Mytilus edulis: one gene and its partners. The protein of the gene in region 3 interacts with the protein of the main gene of each other region in a pairwise test. Links are inferred from orthologs where the notes say so. Each region holds a gene or a part of one and is shown on either strand. Other genes may lie near its edges.

Evidence for each region. The genes of interacting proteins can lie anywhere in the genome.
Region 1: the proteins of splicing factor 3A subunit 1-like (region 3) and splicing factor 3A subunit 2-like interact in a two-hybrid assay, tested with the Caenorhabditis elegans proteins (2 studies listed by BioGRID). The link is inferred for Mytilus edulis from reciprocal best matches to the Caenorhabditis elegans genes prp-21 and repo-1.
Region 2: the proteins of splicing factor 3A subunit 1-like (region 3) and splicing factor 3A subunit 3-like interact in a two-hybrid assay, tested with the Caenorhabditis elegans proteins (2 studies listed by BioGRID). The link is inferred for Mytilus edulis from reciprocal best matches to the Caenorhabditis elegans genes prp-21 and prp-9.

Annotation. Positions count from the first base shown.
Region 1 is NC_092350.1:35,651,533-35,659,314, reverse strand, and holds the start of splicing factor 3A subunit 2-like, read left to right. Parts: upstream 1-4,737; 5' UTR 4,738-4,882; intron 4,883-7,308; 5' UTR 7,309-7,329; coding exon 7,330-7,455; intron 7,456-7,782.
Region 2 is NC_092353.1:19,794,474-19,802,269, reverse strand, and holds the start of splicing factor 3A subunit 3-like, read right to left. Parts: upstream 3,046-7,796; 5' UTR 2,958-3,045; coding exon 2,862-2,957; intron 2,053-2,861; coding exon 2,005-2,052; intron 909-2,004; coding exon 856-908; intron 248-855; coding exon 142-247; intron 1-141.
Region 3 is NC_092346.1:97,751,217-97,758,169, forward strand, and holds the start of splicing factor 3A subunit 1-like, read right to left. Parts: upstream 3,046-6,953; 5' UTR 2,952-3,045; coding exon 2,843-2,951; intron 332-2,842; coding exon 167-331; intron 1-166. Other genes in the region: zinc finger B-box domain-containing protein 1-like, read left to right, coding at 6,655-6,716.

The DNA of each region.
Region 1 (7,782 bases), on a different chromosome or scaffold from region 3:
TGTTGATGATCATTAATGACCCATCCGATAAACGGATTACCTATAACAACAGATTATGACACCAGTTGTAACCATTGATTAGCTTGGGGTGGTAAACAAAGTCATAATCTTTTCCCCAGGTAAAATTTAGTAATTAGCGTATCATATCAATACGCAAATTAATATGCAATCGATCTTCAAAAAAGGCAGGGCGCCCTGGAAACTGTAAAAAGGGCACAGGGCGCCACTCGGAAAAGGGCGGGCGCCGCGCCCTCTGAAAACGGCCTAGCTGGAACACTGTGTAACATGTATATCTTTCCCACAACTGTCAAAACCCGAAATTTGTGAGGGCCTGCTACATTTTATCAATTTTTAAACCTTCAATAAAATTCAGTGATTCAGAATCTAAAGTAGAAATTAAAACATCATAATCTGGTTTACAGTTAGATATCTGAGAACTGTCATCTTCACAATCATAAAACATCATAATCTGGTTTACAGTAAGATATAGAACTGTCATCTTCACAATCATAATCTGGTTTACAGTAAGATATAGAACTGTCATCTTCACAATCATAATCTGGTTTACAGTAAGATATAGAACTGTCATCTTCACAATCATAATCTGGTTTACAGTAAGATATCTGAGAACTGTCATCTTCACAATCATAATCTGGTTTACAGTAAGATATAGAACTGTCATCTTCACAATCATAATCTGGTTTACAGTAAGATATAGAACTGTCATCTTTACAATCATAATCTGGTTTACAGTAAGATATAGAACTGTCATCTTCACAATCATAATCTGTTTACAGTAAGATATAGAACTGTCATCTTCACAATCATAATCTGGTTTACAGTAAGATATAGAACTGTCATCTTCACAATCATAATCTGGTTTACAGTAAGATATAGAACTGTCATCTTCACAATCATAATCTGGTTTACAGTAAGATATAGAACTGTCATCTTCACAATCATAATCTGGTTTACAGTAAGATATAGAACTGTCATCTTCACAATCATAATCTGGTTTACAGTAAGATATAGAACTGTCATCTTCACAATCATAATCTGGTTTACAGTAAGATATAGAACTGTCACAATTATTGGTCCAGGATAAAAACTCTGTTGAGTCCCCTTAGGAATGTCAACCCAATTACTAAGAACAATATTTATCTAATTTACTATTTTCTGCTTGAAAAATAAGATTGACGAAGTGAAAAAAAAATGAAATGAGACACCATATGCTACAAGGGTTATTTTCGTGCATCGTTTTTCAATGTGTTTTGACATTAATTTTTATTTCTCGTTTTCTCGTGTTTGGTTCGACGTGCGTGCTTCGTGTTTCTTGTTATTTATTGTCCGTGTTTCGTATTGGTAAGTAATTTTTCGTAATTGTCCAAAAATTGACTCGATTAAAAAGTAAACCAGGACTAAATTCAAAGTTAGTCCCGAGATTGTTTTGAATTATTTGTTTCCATGATATTAATGGCTGTCAAATTATCTTCAATTATAACTATGAATACTATGAATACTTTTTTTAATCAGATGCAACTAGCGGACCGATACAAGAGTTGACCTCACCATGCCATTAATAATGACTGCATGATTCCAAAGAACGTCAGAGTAATAACTTCTCAGCCGAGAACTTTTTTCCTTAATAAATAAATAATAATAAATAAGCTTTATTTAGAGTCGGCATGGTATATAAAACATAGACAAACATAAGCTCTAATGAGCTTTTAACCGACATATGAGACATTATTTAACAGTACAACATTTATAACAATACAATACATAATATAGTACACATGCAATAACTATCACAGCACAAAAATGAAGCACTTAAAGCAGAATATAAGCATACGCTAGATATTAAGGCTAAAAACATATAAGTGTAAACTAGGCATAAAAGCTGGTAAAAATGCATAGCATAAAAATTGAAAAAATGGGATATGATCTAGATGGTAAATAAATTTGCATAATATATAAACTAAAAGTCTGCACAAACTGTGCACTTACAGTCATTTCCATTCCATGACTTTAAAATATTTTTGAACTGACTAAAATTAGCAATTTTTCTAAAATCATCAGGTAGATCATTCCATAAAACAGCAGCTGTGTATTGTAAAGAGTTCTTACCATAGGTTGTTGTTCGGACCCTGGGTATATCTACAATATTAGAATATCTAAAATTATATTTACAGTCTTTCAAAACAACTAAATCATGTAAGCATGGTGGTGACAATTTATATAAAATTTTAAAACACTCAATAGCCATGTTACGCATACGTCTTATTTTCAGTGATGGAACCTTTGCTCGTAAAAGTAGTTCATCATATGAACTAACATAGTCTTCATATATAAATCGTAAAGCCCTTTTCTGAATTTTTTCCAATTTTATTGGTGGTGTTATTTTTCTTGCAAAAATGCCATGCCAAAGGACAAAAATTAAAATTAGATAAAATAAATGTGTGGAAAATTGTCAGTTTATCCAATTTAGTAAGGTAGCAGCCAATGCGCTTTAAAACATTCAGTTGTTGGGATGCTTTACGACAAATATTTTTAATGTGGTGATTAAAATTAAGTTGATAGTCAATATCAATACCCAAAAGTTTGACAATCTCATCACAGGATATTTTTGCTGACTGTATATAAAAACAGGCTTTTTTGCAAATGTTTTATTTCCAACTGCAATGGCTTGGAATTTGTCAGGATTTGCCTGCATACAATTAAATCTGAACCAGTCAATTAAAACAGCACTTTCTCTTTCGAGTGTACATAATAAATTATCAAAATCATTGTCAGCATAAGACAGAGTATTGTCATCGGCATAGTTAAACAAGGTACCATGTTCAATAAAATAAAATATGTCGTTTATAAAAATATTAAATAATAGGGGCCCCAGGATTGAGCCTTGGGGTACCCCTTTCTGGATGTCAGCCCAACTGCTGAGTACTCCCTGAAGTTTGATTTGTTGCCTTTATTTGTTAGATAATTTTGAAGTAATTTCACTGATTTAGAAGAGAGACCGTAGGCAGATAATTTACTTAAAAGAATATCATGAGGTAAACAGTCAAAAGCTCATTGTTCGAAAGATCCATAAGAATAGCTGCCACATATATTATAATATTTACAATTTAATTTCTCGTGCTTCGTTATTCACGATTTTTAATTTACGTGCAACGAACGATGTGTGTTTTTGTTATTTCAAGTGTTTTCGTGTTCACTTCATAGCTCGATCACCTTTACCACCATCTGCTGCATATTCGGCCAACCTCCTACAAGCCTAAATAGCGTGGTCTGACATTCTGTGGATCGTTCAAAATTTATTGAGCACTTATTTTTCACATAATTTGGAGAGTACTCTTTCTTGAGATAACAGTAAATTGAGTTTAAGGTGGTATATTGTTTTATCACTTGTCCGTCCAGTCGTCGAATACTCTTCCCCTGTCTGGGATCCGTACAAAAAACATCACATCACTCAGGTTGAGCAGGTACAGCGTAAGGCAGCCAGGTTTGTCTTCAATGATTATAAAGACAGATCACCTGGTGCAGTTTCAAACTTAATTAAATCTTTGGAATGGGAAAATTTAGAAATAAAAAGAAAAAATGCTAGATTTACTATGCTGTATAAAATAAATTGGGGGTTAGTGGAAGTTCCTAAGGACAATTTAACAATATCTGATAGACGTACTAGGGGGAAACATAAATTTAGGCAAATATCTACAAATAAAGATTTCTATAAATTTTCATTTTATCCTCGCACTATTTCGGACTGGAACTCACTACCTGAAGCAATAGGTATGTCTGACACCCTGGAATCCTTCAAAAGTGGCATATCCACTCTAACACTTGAAGGATCCACAACAACTTATTAAACTACAAAGCCACTGTACATAATGTATATATGTTATTGTTAATGATTTTTCTTTGTCAAATTATTTTTAAATTAAGTCCATATGTACATAGCACACAAGTTCCGGGAAGTTTTACACTCCTACCTAGGAGTCTACTCCCGTATTCGGAAGAAGAAGATGGGTGTCTTCCTCCATCTTGGATTGTAAAAAACAGAGAATCAAAGGTCCAGATTTTCCATCAAGTTAGCAAAATTTGATGCAGGAATGCAGATGTTGAATGTACATTTTCATTTAAAAGTACCAATTTATAAGAATATAACTTCTAAATATTGATATTTTTGCAAATGTTAATTATTTTTGGTTGTTTTTTTTGGGTTTTTTAATTGGCATTTTAAGGGGAGGTAACTCTAAAAAAGTGCATTTTCTGAAGGATTCTGTATGGAATTTTCCTATTTTGTATTTTAGCTGGAAAAAACGTACGGTGACCCTATCTTTTCTTTTGATATTCTCAAAGCAGTGTCTGAAAGCTATCTTTTCCTGAAGTATTTAACAATTCTATCATTTTGTTTAGTTTCTAATCACAAAATGGTATTTTTTCCTGTATAATCCATACAAAATGTGTCATTTTGTCCCGTCCTGTAGCTTGAGAAAATGCGCGGTGACCTATCATTTTTATTATATTTTTCAACATGTATCAATAGATACAACGTTTTGGCAAAGTATGAACAAATTCTATCATTTTTATTTTAGACTCCCATACCACCTTAAGATTTTATTGGATGTTGCAAGATAAATGGTTCGTTCTTTGTAACGGTGAAATATTAATACATATTGGGTCTTTAGTTATATGTGACTCCGCATTTTACTGTACCCATAAAAGCGTTCCTTCAACATTGCACTGGTTTTCTATTTTCATTTGCTATGCTCTTCTATATACAAGGGTACGGCAACCAGTAAATCGTCAGAAAAGCGTTGTTTTGCAAATAATTGTACATGTGGAAATAATAGCCGGTAAACGGCACAGTGTTCCTCGTCAGGTATTAATGAGATGTAAAGACATGTGTGTTTGTAAATAACATATTTAAATGTCCCATTGACAATCATCCCAATGGCAATGACCATGAAGACAGGCACTTCGCCCCTTGAACTTGTTTCATGCGATGCATTTATTTTTTCTATTTCTTTCCTTCTAACTTCGATCTGATACTAGAAAATGCATAGCTATATACAAGAATCCGTTTAAAATTATTTTTCAATAAAAGGTCAGTTTAACTGTTCTACTACAACAAGATGGAACACAGTTCTACTACAATAAGTCATTATAAGATGGAATGTCAGATTAGTATTTTTTGTGCCTTTTGTCAGTTTTTGGGAATGCCGAATGGTTAATTCTTTTAATCACCGGTGGAATCAGACCGCCTCATTGACGGTGGTCTCCTGGTAGCATAAAAAATTGAGAATGGAATTGCTTAATGGAAAATATGTCAAAATGTTCTGACAATGCAGCGAGAAACTTCACCCCGTTAGGCCAATTAAAATTAATTGATAGATTTTCATCCCCGCCCGCCCCTTTGAAATCGTTCAGCCCCCGATTTTTTTTATTTAGGAAAAATTACGATTTCCAGATTTTGTTCATGTCCATTATCAGTAAACATCGATAATTTTGTTTCATTTAAAACTTCCTGTTTCAAATTTCGTTTTTTTTTTCAAACGAAAATGATTAAGTCGACATATTCTGCAGCTCTATGATGTCAACATCATGTACCGAGAATAGAGATAGATTACAAGAAGGGCATGAAATATTCGAGTTTACACGAGTTTAACGCTGTGTCCAAGAACGCAAATCGCGGTATGTCACAAATGATTAGAAAGCCGTTTTTTTTATTTATACAATGACTTAGCTTTGTGTCAGGAAATTCGGACTATGAATTCAATGATATCGAAAGCAAAGGAATCATGGAACACATTGGTACAAAAAAACGTGTCAGGATTACAGAAATTGACACCAGAAAGAACTTGTTAGATTGATTACCACCATAAATTGAGCTAAAAAGAGGATCGAAAAACATTAATATTATAGCAATTCGTTAGATTTTAATATCCATGGCTATCGTGTTTTGTTGACAAACAGCAAACACCCTCTGATTAAACCACAACTTCTTTTTGGTTCAGTTCATGTTTTACATCATAATTGTATTTGCATCTTGCTTTAGCACCAACCCTATTACTTTCAACATTGTTGGAGTTTTCATTTAATTCTGTATTCATAATACTTGTATTGCATATATTTGTACAAGTTTGCTTAAATTTATGGGAACTTCAAACCATCGGTTAGAAAACAAAATAAATTTGGTGTAGGTATAGTCCAACTGAAGTGAGCATTAATTTTCTCCATGTTTACAAAAAACAATGATAGATAGGTTTCTAAAGTGGCATTTACATGTAAAACAGTCAATTGTGGTTGCCTATCAGAGATATAAAGAGTTTGAAAATTTATGAACGATTCCTGATACATGAGTCATACATGTATATAAACGTGATATATTAGCTTATTTTACACTTGTTTATACCCCTGCGGTATATAGAACTCGTCACTAGAGGGTTTCTTATGAAATAAAATTTAAAGAATAAAATCCTCCCACCCGCCCCATTTAAAAAAAAAATTTGGATGAAAATCTACTAATTAATTTTAGTTGGCCTTATTTGTAGCAATGCTGGGCCTCAGCTGGCCTCTAAATAAAAATGTATCCTAGTTAAGTTAAAAAGGGCATCAAACTAAACTCTGAAACATACAAATGAACCAACATTAAAAAAAAACCACAAGATTAACAAAGATCAGGTGCTCCTGCCTTGGGAGTTGCAAAAATGGGGAGGGATGAAACATGTTTGTGAGTTCTCAACCCTCCCCTAATACCTCCAGTCAATGTAGATTAAAGAAACGCACAGAAATACACAGGTTCGCCTTGAGTGCTATAATTTGTGGGTTTCAAACCATGGCTTGAGCAAACCAAATACTGCTTTTCTGCTAAGCACAGGACTTAAAGTCTTTAAGGAGTAAGAGCAAACACTGATTGTCTGGGAATCAGAATAATGAGTCTGGGTATTAAAGGTGACATGTCTTCCTGTGGACTTATACATTTTGTACCTCTTGGATGAAGAGGTTCAACTGTAAAGGTTTTAACCAAATATTATTTTAAAGTACAATCATAAACAATTAAAGAGATATATTACCAAGATTAATAAGACTAAAATTAGGATGTTGCTGCACTTTATGGGATCCTGGTGCAATTGAAGTACAGTACTGAATCTTGTGTATGTTACCATGGTTACAGAGACAATAAAACATCAGAAAAAAATGTGATTATAAGAAAAATTCTTCAACTTCTCTAAGCTTTGTAAATAAAGCTACCATATAAAGTTTTTCATAATTGTTTATTAATACATTGACATCATCCAATTATAGGTTGGTCATCTGAAATAGACCATGGATTTCCAAAACAGAGCTGGAGGAAAGACAGGGTCTGGAGGAGTAGCCTCGGCCTCTGAGTCAAACAGAGATAGAAGAGAAAGGCTACGCCAGTTAGCTTTAGAGACAATTGACTTAAATAAGGTATTTTTCTCCAATTTTTATGTGTTTAGTTTACATTAAATGTTATTATACAAGATCTAGAGCTTTGATTAATTAAAAAAAATGATTAATTTAAAAAATTTAAGTCTGTCACATGTCGTCTATATAATTAAATATTTAAACTTGTTAGATCTAAAGTTTTAGCACTAGTCTTCGATTCAGCAAGAAGTTTTTATTTGTTATAATGGATATATTTGGGGGGTAATTAATTATTATTAAGAACAGATAAGAAAACTATTTAACTATTGATCATGTTGATATTGATGTGAACCTAGTGATGAGATATATATATGATGAGTGATTGTACTC
Region 2 (7,796 bases), on a different chromosome or scaffold from region 3:
AATTGATGGTCTTTTCTGGTTAAAGACATGATTCCAGAAATGACTTATTGAGAGAGTCTAAATAATATAGAATTTGCAAGTATGTCAGATACTGTTTTTTTAAATCTTTTTTTTTTTTTTATATATGTAGAATGTTCATACCTCATTTGGATGCCTTTTGTGGAATTCTCTTAGCTGCTTAAGTCTAGTGTAGAACTCAGAAAACTCATTCGGTCCTGATAAGGACTGTACTTCTTCTTTTCTCATTCTGGAAAGAGAACAAATAAATATTAACTGGACCTCAAGAACCTATGTGAACAATAACTACAGTTACTACACTATCTTGGTGTACAACTCAACCAGTACATGCCAAAACTGAGACAGACTTTGATGGTTCTGCTGTTGTGAACAAATGTTTTATATGTGAAGTATCAGGCAAAGGTGTCTTTTTTATTATGCGAAAATAATGAAATAAGAGAACAAGATTGCTTATATCCACTTTTTGAACTATGGTTAATAGTTGTCTCATTGGCAATCATACCACATTACATCTCTTAATTCTTATTAGAAGAAATGTTGCTTTTATATCAATCCAATCAGGGTATTGTTTTCATTTCTTCAAATTGATGTTCCAACAGACACAGTAAAGAAAATTTCACCGTCAGTTTACAACATGCAAACTTTATGAAGGTCACTAAACATAACAATTGTGTATTCATAAATAAGATTCTACTAATTAATAATCTTTAAGTCTACAGTTAACACGACTAGCAAGCATTTAACTAAACTTTAAAATGTGTACTTCATGCATCTCATGTTCAGAAAATTCTATCACTCTCTCCATGTATATATATATCTATAATTATGAATATTTACCCATCTTTATCCTCATACAAATCCCCTAATTCTGTTGTACATTCTACATATCTCTGTAATGTAATGATATTCATCAAATAAAATAAGCTGCAATATATATATTTCTTGTACATGTTCATAAGACAATACTTTACAACTATTCATTTAAAGCACAAGACAAATATACAAACTATTTAAAAACAGAAAAATGTTTTTTTCTAAAATTTAACACCAAAAGAGAAATATGACTATGAAAGTTTTTATGATGTAGTTTAGACTCAATATAAATATGATTATATCATCCCAAATTCTTCATTTTTTTTTACCATAACTCAGGGATAACTATCTAAAACAATTGCCTCACAAGCCTGTTTTGCCTACTCTTTTCTAGACATGTGTATAATATACAAATGTATAACTGTGGGATTTTAGCTCCATATGGCATAGATGCCAACCCCCTTTTGACACAATCAGTAACAAACTATCAAATTTTCCGTATTTTTGAAAAGTTTTCAGTAATCATTCATAAACGTGCATTTACCAATAAAAATTACTGACGAGTGGTTACAAAGTGATGCACACTAAAATTTGTCATTTAACATGTTGTCTGAAGTATGTATTCCATTCATTAATTGTTCAGATGTTCTCGACTCAAACATTTTTGTTTTGTCAAGGAGAAGTAGAGAAAGGGGGAAAGCTACTTAATAAAATGCAAGTTTGCCTCTTCGGAAGTCAGTTAGTTACCCAACAATAGGTTGATAACTCCCGAGAAACCGGAAGCATTACATTGGCGTTTCCTAAATACTGGACCAGGACGGAAAAGTAATGATAAAAATCCGCGTTTTACAAAATTGAACGTCGATGATTGGGAATCCGTAACTATTCGACTTTGACCGTAATAGCGTAGTTTTTATCGCAAAATCGGAAAAACTACGGAAAAATCGTAATGGTTGGCATCTATGCATATGGTAAAACAACATCATGCAAATTCCCACTACAAATGACAACTTATGCATTTGATAAGAAAAGCACACAAGCTTTCGCTATATTAACTGTTTCAATAAATGTTTTAATTATCATTTTTACAGAATAAAAACTTGATCTTCTTGTAAAATTTCTGAGATGCATTTTTTTTTGCCATTCATTATCATTTATTACATGATTACTTACATCTAGTAGATGCCGAAGTCGCTGGTCTGAATTGATCTGTTCTCTACCCTGAAATAACATTATTTTAAATTTATAAAAATGACTGGCATGACTGGAAGCTATATTGTATAACAATTAACATAAATGTATTGACAAATAATGGAAAAAAATCACCCTCTGCTGCCAGTTGTTTTTCAAGGTTGCATTTTGTGTGCCAGAAAATATGACAGCTCGACATCTGTGACTTCAGATGTCAAGTAATGACGTCATTCGACAACAATTTCCAAGTAAACTATTGTTTGACAGATCAACGTAGAATGTAGATGTGAAAAAGACACAGCAATGAAGAGAAGATTTCATAAATTGAAACATGGCTATATGTGTCTGGTCAAGGATTTGTATAGTGAGACACTATAAAAATCCTTGGTCTGGTACATTCGGTGTGGACACATGTGTCCCTCGAGCAGCAATACACCTTATCGCTATTCCCGGCTGACCTGTCCGCTTGAACTTTTGACGTCAACAACAATCACTTTTCCATTGTGGCGTCAGACATTTTGTTTTATGACGTCAAAATTTTACGGGAACCTGTGTGATTTCCAGCAATGGCGGACAAATAGCGATAAGGTGTATAGGATTAAATTTGCATATGCATACATTTATGTTTAATTTTGAAGGAGTTTAATCATTATCATAACATTAACTTTTGATAATATATATTATTTGATTCAACTAACGGTATTGTTCTGATTCGTGTTCGCTGAAAATAATACATTGTTTTTCTTGGGTCAAATTGGTGAATTTGGGTGACTTGAAGTTGGAACATCATTGAACATTGACATGAAATGATTACAATTTACGTGATAAGTCCAACATACATTTTTGCTAGGTTGAAGCATTTCCTTGGTCATTGCATCTTGAAGTCGTTCTCTTTCTTCATGGTATCGTCGTTGTTGCTCAAGAAGTGTTTCCATATCGTTAAAATGAAATTAATTTGTCGATGCTAAAACGAAAATAGTTCGTCTTCATTAAAATATAGCTTCAGTTTCCCTATTGAAAACTAATTCCTTAAAACGCGTTACTGATTTCAAGATTGATGGAATCGCCTTTTTTCGTCCTACAATCTCGTCCCATCTCATAAAACGCTTTGATTAAATCAAGTATCACTAACAACCGACAAGAAACAACAAAAACAGGAATCAAATATGCACATTTTGTTTAAATTGGCAATCTGTACAATAAAAATATAAAGCTGTGTTTAGCCTTGACAGTATTGGGTTGTGCACAATGCTGGACACCGCATGCACATTTATTCTATGACTGGAACACTGTCTTTTGATCGCAATAGTGTCCACGCCATACTAATCTATAGAAATATCTCGTATTTGATAAAAGGCCAGTTTTGAAATTTCTGACTTTGTAAGTCAAAATGTTTTTTTTTATGAAGACTTGACTGTTAACTTTTGACTATGCCTTACAGTTCGCATCAACATCAACATGTTTTTTTTTTTAGATATTTTATAATTTGACCCAAAAGACCATCTGATCATACTGATGTAAGAGAATAACAAAGTTTCAAGTTGTATTGGCCAATCTTCATGGTCAAGAATATATAACCAAAATATTTCAACAACACACAGACTGCGGACAAGCAGCCGGGTAGTATACGTAGTCGGATCAGGGGAGGGGGGGGGAGGTTCTGGGGGCCGGCCCCCCTTTCGTGGGAAAAATTTGGTTGATTATATAGGGAATCACTGAAGCATGACTGGAGCGGCCCCCCCTTTTAGGTCAGTCAGCGGGCCCCCCTTATGAAAAGTTCTGGATCCGCCACTGGTATACACATTCAAAGGGAGAGGCACAGAAAATCAATGATTTGATGACGAAACGAGAACTTTTTACAGACAAATAGAATAGACAGTGTACAGAAAAGATATGGATGTGAATTTCAAAATATTCAAGAAGTTTAACGTATGAAAAGCATCAAATACAAAACAGCTGTCTCTATGCTGACTTTGGTGAACTTCTGTTGATGAGTTACTGTATCAGGTTTTTCAAAAATATTATAATGGCTGTTTAGGTCAATAAACTCATCATAGATACCAGGACTAAATTTTGTATATACGCCAGACGCGCGTTTCGTCTACAAAAGACTCATCAGTGACGCTCGAATCCAAAAATTAAAAAAAAAGCCAAATAAAGTACAAAGTTGAAGAGCATTGAGATCCAAAATTCCTAAAAGTGTTACCAAATACAGCTAAGGTAATCTATGCCTGAGGTAGAAAAGCCTTATTATTTAAAAAAATTCACAATTTTGTAAACAGTTAATTTATAAATATAACAATATCAATGATAATTCATGCCAGCACAAAAAGTGCTGACTACTGGGCTTGTGATACCCTCGGGGAAATAAATCTCCACCAGCCAGCTTCTGTTTACAAATTGATTTTGTATAAGTTTCACTTCCTAGTAACTCGATCACAAGTTATCAAATATTACGGATAAGTTTATTTATTTGTGGAATTAAATACATGTAATTCATACAGTCAATAAACATATTTTCCAAGTAAACTATTGCTGACATAACAACCTTATTTAGTTACAAACCAGATGTGTACCTGTTCTGGGTAATTTGGTTCGATCCTAAAGAGAAGTTAAAAAAAAAAGTTATACAATAAATGCATGTTTTCTCGTTTTCAAAAACTGAAACATATGCAAAGTATTTTACTTGTTGAACTTATAACGGTTGCACATATTTGCAAAGCAAAGTTCTGGAATTATGCGGAAGATGGCGACGGTCATTTTTTTCATAACGTTGAAATTGAGTTTCCCGCAAATATATTTGAGGATACAGCTTTGGAAACCCTACATGATTTACACGTCTTCCAGTGATGTTTGTTGCTTTTTATTCATCTTGATACTATCAATATAGTTATAAAATTGTTTTTTTTCCCCAGTGCATTTGAACTTCTGGAAGGTTTTCTCGATTATTATTAGGCTCTTCAAGCCCTATAAGACGATTTTATGGTATTACTGTATAGGCCATGAATAATATATTTTTAATTTTATTCTTTATAACATATGAGTAAACAACGCTTTTATTCCTTTTTTGAAGGATATGTTTTTTTGGGGGTCTATTTTCATTCACGACTGCATTCAGTTTCATTTCTATCAAACAGCATTAATAATTAATGTTGTTTTTAGTTTTTTTGTTATAAGGATTTTTTCTGTTACTTACTTAATTTTTTATTTGTGGCATTAGAATGATCATGACAGGAAAATTATATAGAAACTAATGTACCATGTCGATGCACCCCTAGTCTCACTCCTTTTGGGGTTCATGAGATATCCTCACTTATTTTGTTACTCTGGTGTATCAATCATCTTAAAATTGATTATGAGAATTGAACATTGGTACACTACTGTTGCCAAAAATTAGACATGATTGTGACGACTGAACGGTCATATATATAGGACACCTCATTGCTATTACATTATTTAATTAAAATTAAATATAACTTTAAGTAACATTAAATTCTTTTATGCAAATGTTTTCCACAACTGTTTTCTTTCATGGATACCACTCCCCCAACATAAACAAACATACGTTCTGCTCCTTTCCTCCTAATATTCAAAACATCTCAACTCAACACTAGACTATCCTCTCCAAAACCAGAGTCCTGTCTTCCCACAACGATAGCACGAGAGTTACCAGTAGAGTTGAGAGCCTCAGTTGCTTGGTTCTTTTCGACATTTGATTGGAGCATCATTGTCACGGTTACCCTGTGGAGTCATCTCAGGCACTATCATTTACTACTCCATTTTGGACTCCTAATCTGACTCTGTCTCATCAGTCTGTTTGATGCCTTCAGACGTTGTCAGTTGTTTTCCTTGTATGCTGTTCCTATAAACAACTTGTTGCAGCTGTATGATATAGCTATTCGGTTTATTACTAGTATCAATCGGCAGCTTTTAAAAAAGGTAGTAAAAGTTCCTGTGTAGCGTTTTCTTCTTTCCCTCTCCATTTTCATTCTGAATCAAATACACTGGGGTGTCGTTGTTAGGCTGTGTAACAACACGGTACGAGCCCTCTTACCACGTGTATGTAATCTTGTTTCCCGTCGTGACTACTTATCTGACAAGCACTCTGTCGCATGGTTGTAGAATGGCACCTCTAACTTTTTTGTTAATAAATGACTTCTGTCTATCTTAAGCTGTTCATGCATATCTTGATGCTAAATCATATTCCTTCTATAGTCGCTTTTACACGGCATCGACATACGTCGTTGCTGATTCTTTCTTGCCATTCATATCTTAACCCAGGCAAATGTCCACTGGTAATCTTGGTGGTCTACCAAAAATCAAAAAGTACGGTTAAAACCAAGTTGTTGTCTATCGAGTACAATTATATGTATTGGCGAGTCCAATGACACGCGACTTCCACTGTTTGTTGTTTCAATGGTACCAAGCTTACTGATCAGTGTTCGGTTGAAGCGTTTTGTCATGCTATTCCCCATAGGATGACATGCCGTGGTTCTTGACTTCCATTCCAGTGATGTGACATAATTCTGTGATGATGGTGAAATCTAAGCTAGTGCCTATGTTAGAGTGGATTCTCTTTGGCAAACCAAGTGAACAACAAAGTGGAAGAAGAAGAATTCGGCTGGTTTTTTCAATTTGGTTTATGGGTATTAATCGTGTTAACACGGGTCAAACTCTGTCCCCTTTGAAGAAATATCTTTATCAATGAAAATTTCAAGACACCATTTTCACCAAACGTAATCTCGATCTGTAAATCATCATAACAGACTCACACAAAGATAATCAGCTCAATATATGAAGGCGTTCAGAAAAAAATCGGTATAACTGATATTATTACGAAATTTTCTTGTCAAAAGCCCGTTTCCTATCGAAAGTCGGTGGGTTTTTTTTTCGGGCACTCCGACTTAATCCATCAATAAACTTACCTGAAACTTTGGCAATGTATTAACGGGGAAAATATGACAGACAGCAACCAACGACCACCACTGACCGGTTTTTCTCATTTGGAACAGTCGCTATCATAAATCATATGGCGTGGTGTCAATTATCTTCACTGAATAATTTTTTCTTTCTCAGGAAACAATTCTTATATGAATAGGTTGAAAATGGAGTTTCTCCACTTTAAATATCGAGAACACTCTTCAACTTTTTACTTGTTTGGCTTTATAAATATTTTGACATGAGCGTCACTGATGAGTCTTATGTAGACGAAACGCGCGTCTGGCGTACTAAATTATAATACCTTTGATAACTTTTATCAAGAAAGCAAGCAGTATTTTTTTCCCCATGACTGGAATATGAAACCTCTGCATGATGATTGATGTGTTGCTTTATACAATTATTTGGCGGATATATAAGACGGTTCAAATACAGCATATCGAACTTGTTAAATGTATGTAGAGGTTTTTTTACTCTACAAAGATTTAAACATTGGTAGACCACTGTCGACTTTACTAAAACCACTTACCCCCTTTTGAACCATAAAAGGATTATTTGAACCATCCGTCTTTATACTATATAACTATACTTCACACAAAAATTCCAAGAAATAACTATAAATATAAACCGCGCGTCAATATATTCGACTAAACGCCTTTCTAAAGTTCTCACCACCATTCCATGTAATTTGGTGAAAAGATGGCCTTCACAAATATTGTGATGATATTTTCCCAATGGTCCTTATCCGACGCGGAGTCCTGAAAATTCGAAATGTCTACAGCAAAATCTTCAATCAGATTGTTTACAATTTTGCTGTAATATCAAAACTTGATATT
Region 3 (6,953 bases):
TTTACCACGGGTGTGTACTCAAAGCGTTTGAAGGACGTCATGTTAGAATAAAGTATATATTGTAAATGCAGATCATAACATAACAATCTTATCCATATCATGACCATTGTTTTCTCTGACTTTGTACTTGTAGTAGGTATTATTTAAACACCAGCAATCTATCTACCTTTGCCCTCCTTGAACTCTTTGACTTTATACTGGTAATATGCATGGTATGGGTCATTTTGTTGGAGGAAATTAAATTTAGGGTTGTTAATTTCATTCTGACGGATTCTGCTCTCAAACTCAGGTCCATTTCTGGCAACGAAGCTAGCAGTCTTGTCTACAATATCTTAGAATCCTTGTTAAAGAAATGATATATGTTACAATTCAGTGTAGTATTCTGGTCTATATAGATCAAAGAGGTAAAATAAAAATAAATTCTTTCAATTAACAAAAGTATCAATATTTGAAAAATTCTTAACTAACAATTTCTTCAAATGTTGTGAGGAAGAATTGAATATGAACTGAATATGTTTCATGTGTATCACTCTAGCCTATAAACCTTATTTCATGTAACTGCCTTTTACAATAACTTAATGATTTCATAATTTTTGTACTCATATACATGTATGAACTGTACATGTTCAACAGAATGAGAATTACACAGTTGCAGATTCTAAATTTTAACCACAAATTGTTTAATTTAAAATAAATACAAAAATTAGTTTGATTCAACACATGAACAAATTCATGTGTGGGTGACATGGTTGGGATAGATGTACATGTATGTTGTAAAATTTTGTTACATGTGAAGAGATGAGATTTAAAGACAGATACTGATAGTACAGCAAACTTGTGACCAATTTGCAGAGGAACAGTAAATTCTTATTTTGTTCCTTCCTTGTGTATAAATACACCAATTTAGGAACACTGAGATTCTGTTATGCTCTTTTCTTGAGTATTGATACACCTACACTTCATCTTTGCATGTTAACTAACAATATAATACTTACATGACTTACCAATATTATACTTTATTTTATTAATACTCATAAGAAACTATTAAACTTGACCTAAGCATGTTAACTAACAATGTAAATGTACTAATATGTCTTACCAATATACATGATATACTTTATTGTACATTGTATCAATACTGCTGGTAAACTATTAAACTTGATTTAAGCATGTTAACTTACAATATACTAAATTACATGACTTACCAATATACTTTATTGCTACTGTCCTGAAGACAATCAATGAATATTTATCATAATATTTTATATTTATAAAATGCTAAACCATATTATCCCCAGCCTTTAAAGCACCAGGGGCACAGAGTTTTTCAGTCAAATATATAGCACATTGGTTAAATTTTATTGAAGAGGTGAAATTTAAGCTGCATACTGATATTTTATCTTAATATAGTATTAACATGCTTCAGCAATATACTGCTCAAGATTGATTGATTGTTAGTGAACATGTTTAAAGTCATATGAAACTTTTATGTATATGTTTTTTATGACTAAATGGATAGTTTTTATTATAAAACTTAAGTAAATATATATTTTTTTCTCAAGAAAATTTTATTATTTGTCAAAATTAAGAAGAAGTTGACTTTTTTTAATTGCTTGCTTCCAGCAAACAATTCGCCAACATGTTTTCCATATATGCAGTTACCTCAGACGGACCTTTCTTGTAAAAATCCCGAGATCTCAATACGCAAGTGCAAATGGAAAACCAAACGTAATCATCGCTCTGTCATCATCATAGACTATCTCTTATTGTACATGTTATACATGTGCTTACCTAAATACCTATGCTTCGTTGATGATTGTTTACTAACCATGCTAACGGGCGACTATCATTAAACTTTGGCTTCAAATTACTACCTTCAATTAGCGTTAATTAACATGATTAATGCAAAAAAAACAAGTGAAACTGCGAGCTACTGCTCACTGATGATACCCCCGCCGCAAGTGGATAATATTAATAGTGTAAAACTATGGAAGTGTTCGGTAAACAGGAAGTTGTCGAGTGATGAATCTGAAAACGCATCACACGGTATAGCTGACTTATATAAATCCTGAAACCAAATTTCAGAAATCCTTGTATTGTAGTTCCTGAGAAAAATGTGACGAAAATTTTCAATTTGGCTATCATGTGTAAAATCAGACAAGTGTTCGGTAAACAGGAAGTTGTCAAGTGATGAATCTGAAAACGCATCACATGGTATAGCTGACATATGTAAATGTTGATACCAAATTACAGAAAGGGTGGATGTGTAGTTCCTGAGAAAAATGTGACGAAAGTTTCATGGGACGGACTGACTGACGGACGGACGGTACGACGGACAGACAGAGGTAAAACAGTATACCCCCCCTTTTTTAAAGCGGGGGTATAAAAACACCATCATTTTTAGATAATTTCATGCGTTTTCATGATTTTTTAAGAACTTGCATTATATAAATATTTGAATAAGTTTGTTAAACTTTAATACCCTTATCAAATATTAATATTTTTTAATAAAAGTAGAGAGACCGATCCCAGGGCGACCAGACTCTCTGGGCGAAAGAACTCAGGGCAAATATGTAAGTAGGGCGAATGGACCTGATACCCTTTCTTAATAATTTAAGCTTATTTATCTATGCAAGATTTAAAAAAAAATTATAATGGGATTTGTTTTTTTTCTGTGTGCAACTACAAGACAGACAGTTGTCTCTGGAGGAAAACAACATACATACCTCTACACAAGTTTCTTTAGAAAGACTATACATGTATAATAACCTTTACTTTGTTTTCTAATATTTTTTCTATTCTAAAGAGTGAGAGACATATGTTGTTGACATTAAAAGGATACTCCTTACTTCTGGGGGAGGGTATATGATTCCAATAACTGGTTTAGCTGCTTGTATTTCTTCTTCTGTTTTCTCTTCCTGTACAGATATAAGTTTCTCAATAGGCGGCATTTTGGAAAAAGTGATCTTGAAGTAGAACACCTCCAATATCTAAATTGCTGCGAGTAAAAACGTACCGGAAGTCGCTAAGGTTTATCAAAGTCGCAAAAACGTTTTGCCTGAAATATATCTTTTTATAGCGCTACATATTCTTTTTAGCGGCGAAATATATAGGCTGATAAAATTTTATATGCATTGGATTACAATGATATAAGCAGCTGTTAAGCCCACAATTTAATCTTAAACAAAAGTACGTTTTCAACTCTTAAGCGTCTTATAAACCCAGAGTAAAATCTCCATTTTTCTCGCGAGACTTTCCAAATATTTACCTTGGATATCCGGTAAAATGAAGATTTGAGGAGAAATTTAGGTAACGGTAGCCTTTGATTACAGGATCCAGGGGTTCAAATTAAAAAAAAAATTGTGAAAAGTACGGCACCACTTAACAGTAAAGTTCGATGAAAGGTCCAAACATTGACTCTTGTCTACAAAGTTTTACAGAATAATTTTTTCCTGTATTCACGGAGGCAAAAAATTCTAAACATGTTCGACAGGAAAAATTAAGGCCTAATTAAAACATTATTTCTGAAGCTTCGTAAATAGATAACAAAATGTTTGACGAAAATGTAATTTAAACCTTCACCGCATCAACAAATATTTTGCCTCTGAGGCGTGGAAGCAACTTAAAATTCGGATATTATATATTATAGGACTATAGTTTACAGGGACTGTATATTTCATATTCAATCAGTACATGTGCATTTAATTTGCAAGGTTGAACCATTCATTATATATTATTAACTTATAAATTAAATTCGAAAATATTATTTGTCATACCCTAGCTTCACTCGTGTTACTCGAAATCCCCATATTATCGATAATTTCTGTATATATTTCCGATTTGATTACATTTTATTATAAAACTGGATGTGGGTACGCATAGCCTACAAATGTCAATTTGACTATTGGTACCCACATGCGGGTACTCGCAGACACTGCCTAAAAGAAACGGAAATACCGTAACGTTTCCGATGTTGGTTCTGTTGTTAGGGGTTTAGTTGTGACGTTATTTAAGTTATGACGTCATATTCAATATAAACAAAGAAACGCTGTTATCCAGGTAACGTTTTTTTCATATCAAACAAATATTAAAAATGATTGGGTGTTGAGTTCCTTCCTATATTTGTTGATATGTTGATAAATATACATTTTATTCAAAGTCTTATGCAAACAAGACCGGAAACGGAAGAAGACCGGAAACAGAAGTAGATCTGAAAAAAAAGTTAACGATTTTGAGTTCATTAGTACAAAGGAAATTTTCCCGATTTTTTTTTTTTTTTTTTTTTTTATTGATTTTTCTACCGTTATTGGGGACTTTGTCCCCATATTAGTACATCAGAAGGGTAATTTTCACCCTCTCACACACATCTCTGGTACAATGGAGTTTAAACTATAAAAATGGGTACTTTGGGTGCCTCGGTTGGTGAAAATTGTCCCCTACTTTGACCCTGGAGATCAATCTTCTGATATCTCTCTGGTTTGTCTGTTTCCACCGAGTAGCCTGTTGGTTCTCTCCAAGTACTTTGGCTTCCTCCACCATAATAACAGACTTCCCGGTGTCCTACAGGCTCCCTTGGGCGGTGTTGGGTAGGGATTGTTAATATTGTAAAGGACACATCTCCATTAATCCTTAGGGAGTGTACATGGATCCTCTGTACCCTTGCAGTCAATCAAGGGGTGTGTCTAAATTGGCGGAATCTCTCGAAAGTACATACATATAGGGTGGGTCTATTATATAAGTGTGACCAAGATTGGCCGATTTTATCTAAGCGTGACAAGTGAAAGTCAAATAATAGGGCTCTTCACGGTTAGTTCGGCCAAATTGAATAGGGGACAGATTTTATTGAAAGAGGTGGAAATAGTATGAAAGTGTGGGAAATCTTACATTTCTTATGCATGTTTCTAAGCAACTGCTCTGTTTTAATGATGTGTTCCTGTATTTTTCACACCATTTTTACCTCCATTATGAAAATCTGCCCCTATCCAATATGGCCCAACTAACCGTGAAGAGCCCTTTTAAGCATGAAAACAAGAAACAAAGCTTGGCGAGGCACAGGAAATAACATGCGCCATTGTGGCAACGAGAAGCAGGATACAGGATTCTCACTAAACTATAAGCGAGATACAGGATTCTCTTTAACAATAAGTGGGATCGGAGAACAGACCCCGTATACACCTTATCGCTATTTGTCCGCCACTACTAGATATCACACAGGTTCCCATTAAATTTTGATGTCATAAAACAAAATATCTGACGCCCCAATGGAAAAGTGATTGTTGAATGACGTTAAAAGTTCAAGCGGCCGGGTTAGCTGGGAATAGCGATAAGGTGTATGAGACTGCATAAAGGGTGTATATCACTATGCGTATAAGAGTCAGTTTGGTATTTTATACAATATTTTACAGGTTCTGGAAGCTTCTCCACATTAGAAGAGAAACAAACTCATGGTTTAGCAACGTTTACAACCACTATGAAATTAGAAAATATATTTATAATTATTAACCTTTAACAATACTGTTAAACCAGGCATGCCCCAAAAAATAATCATCAACCAGTTGATGTTTTTCTGTATGTGAAGAAGAAGAAGAAGATGTGTTAATATGAAGAACGCGGATCTTAATGAAAGCACCCATAAAACATTTGCAAGTTATAAGTGTTTCATACAGAAATTCATCAAATATGCTTTCTGAAACTTGAAAACTCAAAAGTACATTTGGTGTGGCCAATAACCAAATTGGAAGTCCAACTGTAAATCTGATACGTCTCGGAACTTCAGACCACAACTAATTTGAACCCCTAGCATGTCTGGGATCATTTAAGTGATTGTTTTTAATTCAAATTGAATCAACCCAATTTTTTGCAGTATTTTAAACATGGAAAAAATACTATTTCAGATTTGAAATCAATAGATATTAGAAGATGTGGTATGAGTGCCAATGAGACAACTCTCCATTGAATTACAACTGTTAAAAGTAAACCATTACAGGACAAAGTACAGCCTCCTATATGAAGCCTCAAGGCTCACTGTCACACTGAACAGCAAGCTATAAAGGGCCCCAAAAATGACTAGTGTGAAACCAATTGTGGTTGCATTGTATTTAGGAGATAACTGTATTTTAGCTTGGCCTTCCTAAAAGGTAGATTTTACTGTTGCGAATTGAGTTTACCTATTGATGCGGAGCATAGATAGATAAACAGATATTTGCGACAGTAAAATCAAGTTTTACGAAGGCTAAGCTTAAAGTACAATACAGTTATCTCCATTCTAATGCCACATACAATATGTATTAAAATAAATTTGTCAAACATACATACTTAAAAGTATTTTTACTTTTTCGGATTTCAAAATGGGGGCTTTCTTAGTTATGGACTGGTAGAACGTGGAATCTAACCCCTTAAAATATCTGTCAAGGTCCAATGAAAATTATCGTTACAAACTAATTGCATTAGAAATTGAATTTACAATTTCTTTCTTGACAATTTCAAAATTTCCTACTGTAGGATTTTGTGTGTTTTGTTGAGAAACACTTATGTTACATTTTTTGGACTGATAAATAAATAAAGAGAGGACTTCATGAGTAATTTAACTGATGATTATTATTTTACAGACTGACAGAATTCAAGTTGGGAGCGTAAAGTCAGAAAACTGTAAAGATGTCCGCATTTAATATCAACACTGCAAAGAAAGAAGATGTGTCTGTTAGACTTAAACAGCAGTATGTATCTTATTTTTACAGTTTTATTGTTGAAGTGTTACCCTAATATCCAATCTAATTAAAATTAAATCCTTTAATTGCTCCTGTTCTGATATGTCGCGCATCAAGCCTTGATGCGCGACATATCAGAACAGGAGCAATTAAAGGATTTAATTTTAATTAGATTGCCCTAATATCTAAAAAGATAACAGTTAAGATGAGTATTGTCAATTGTGTAAAACTGTTTTATTTAAACAT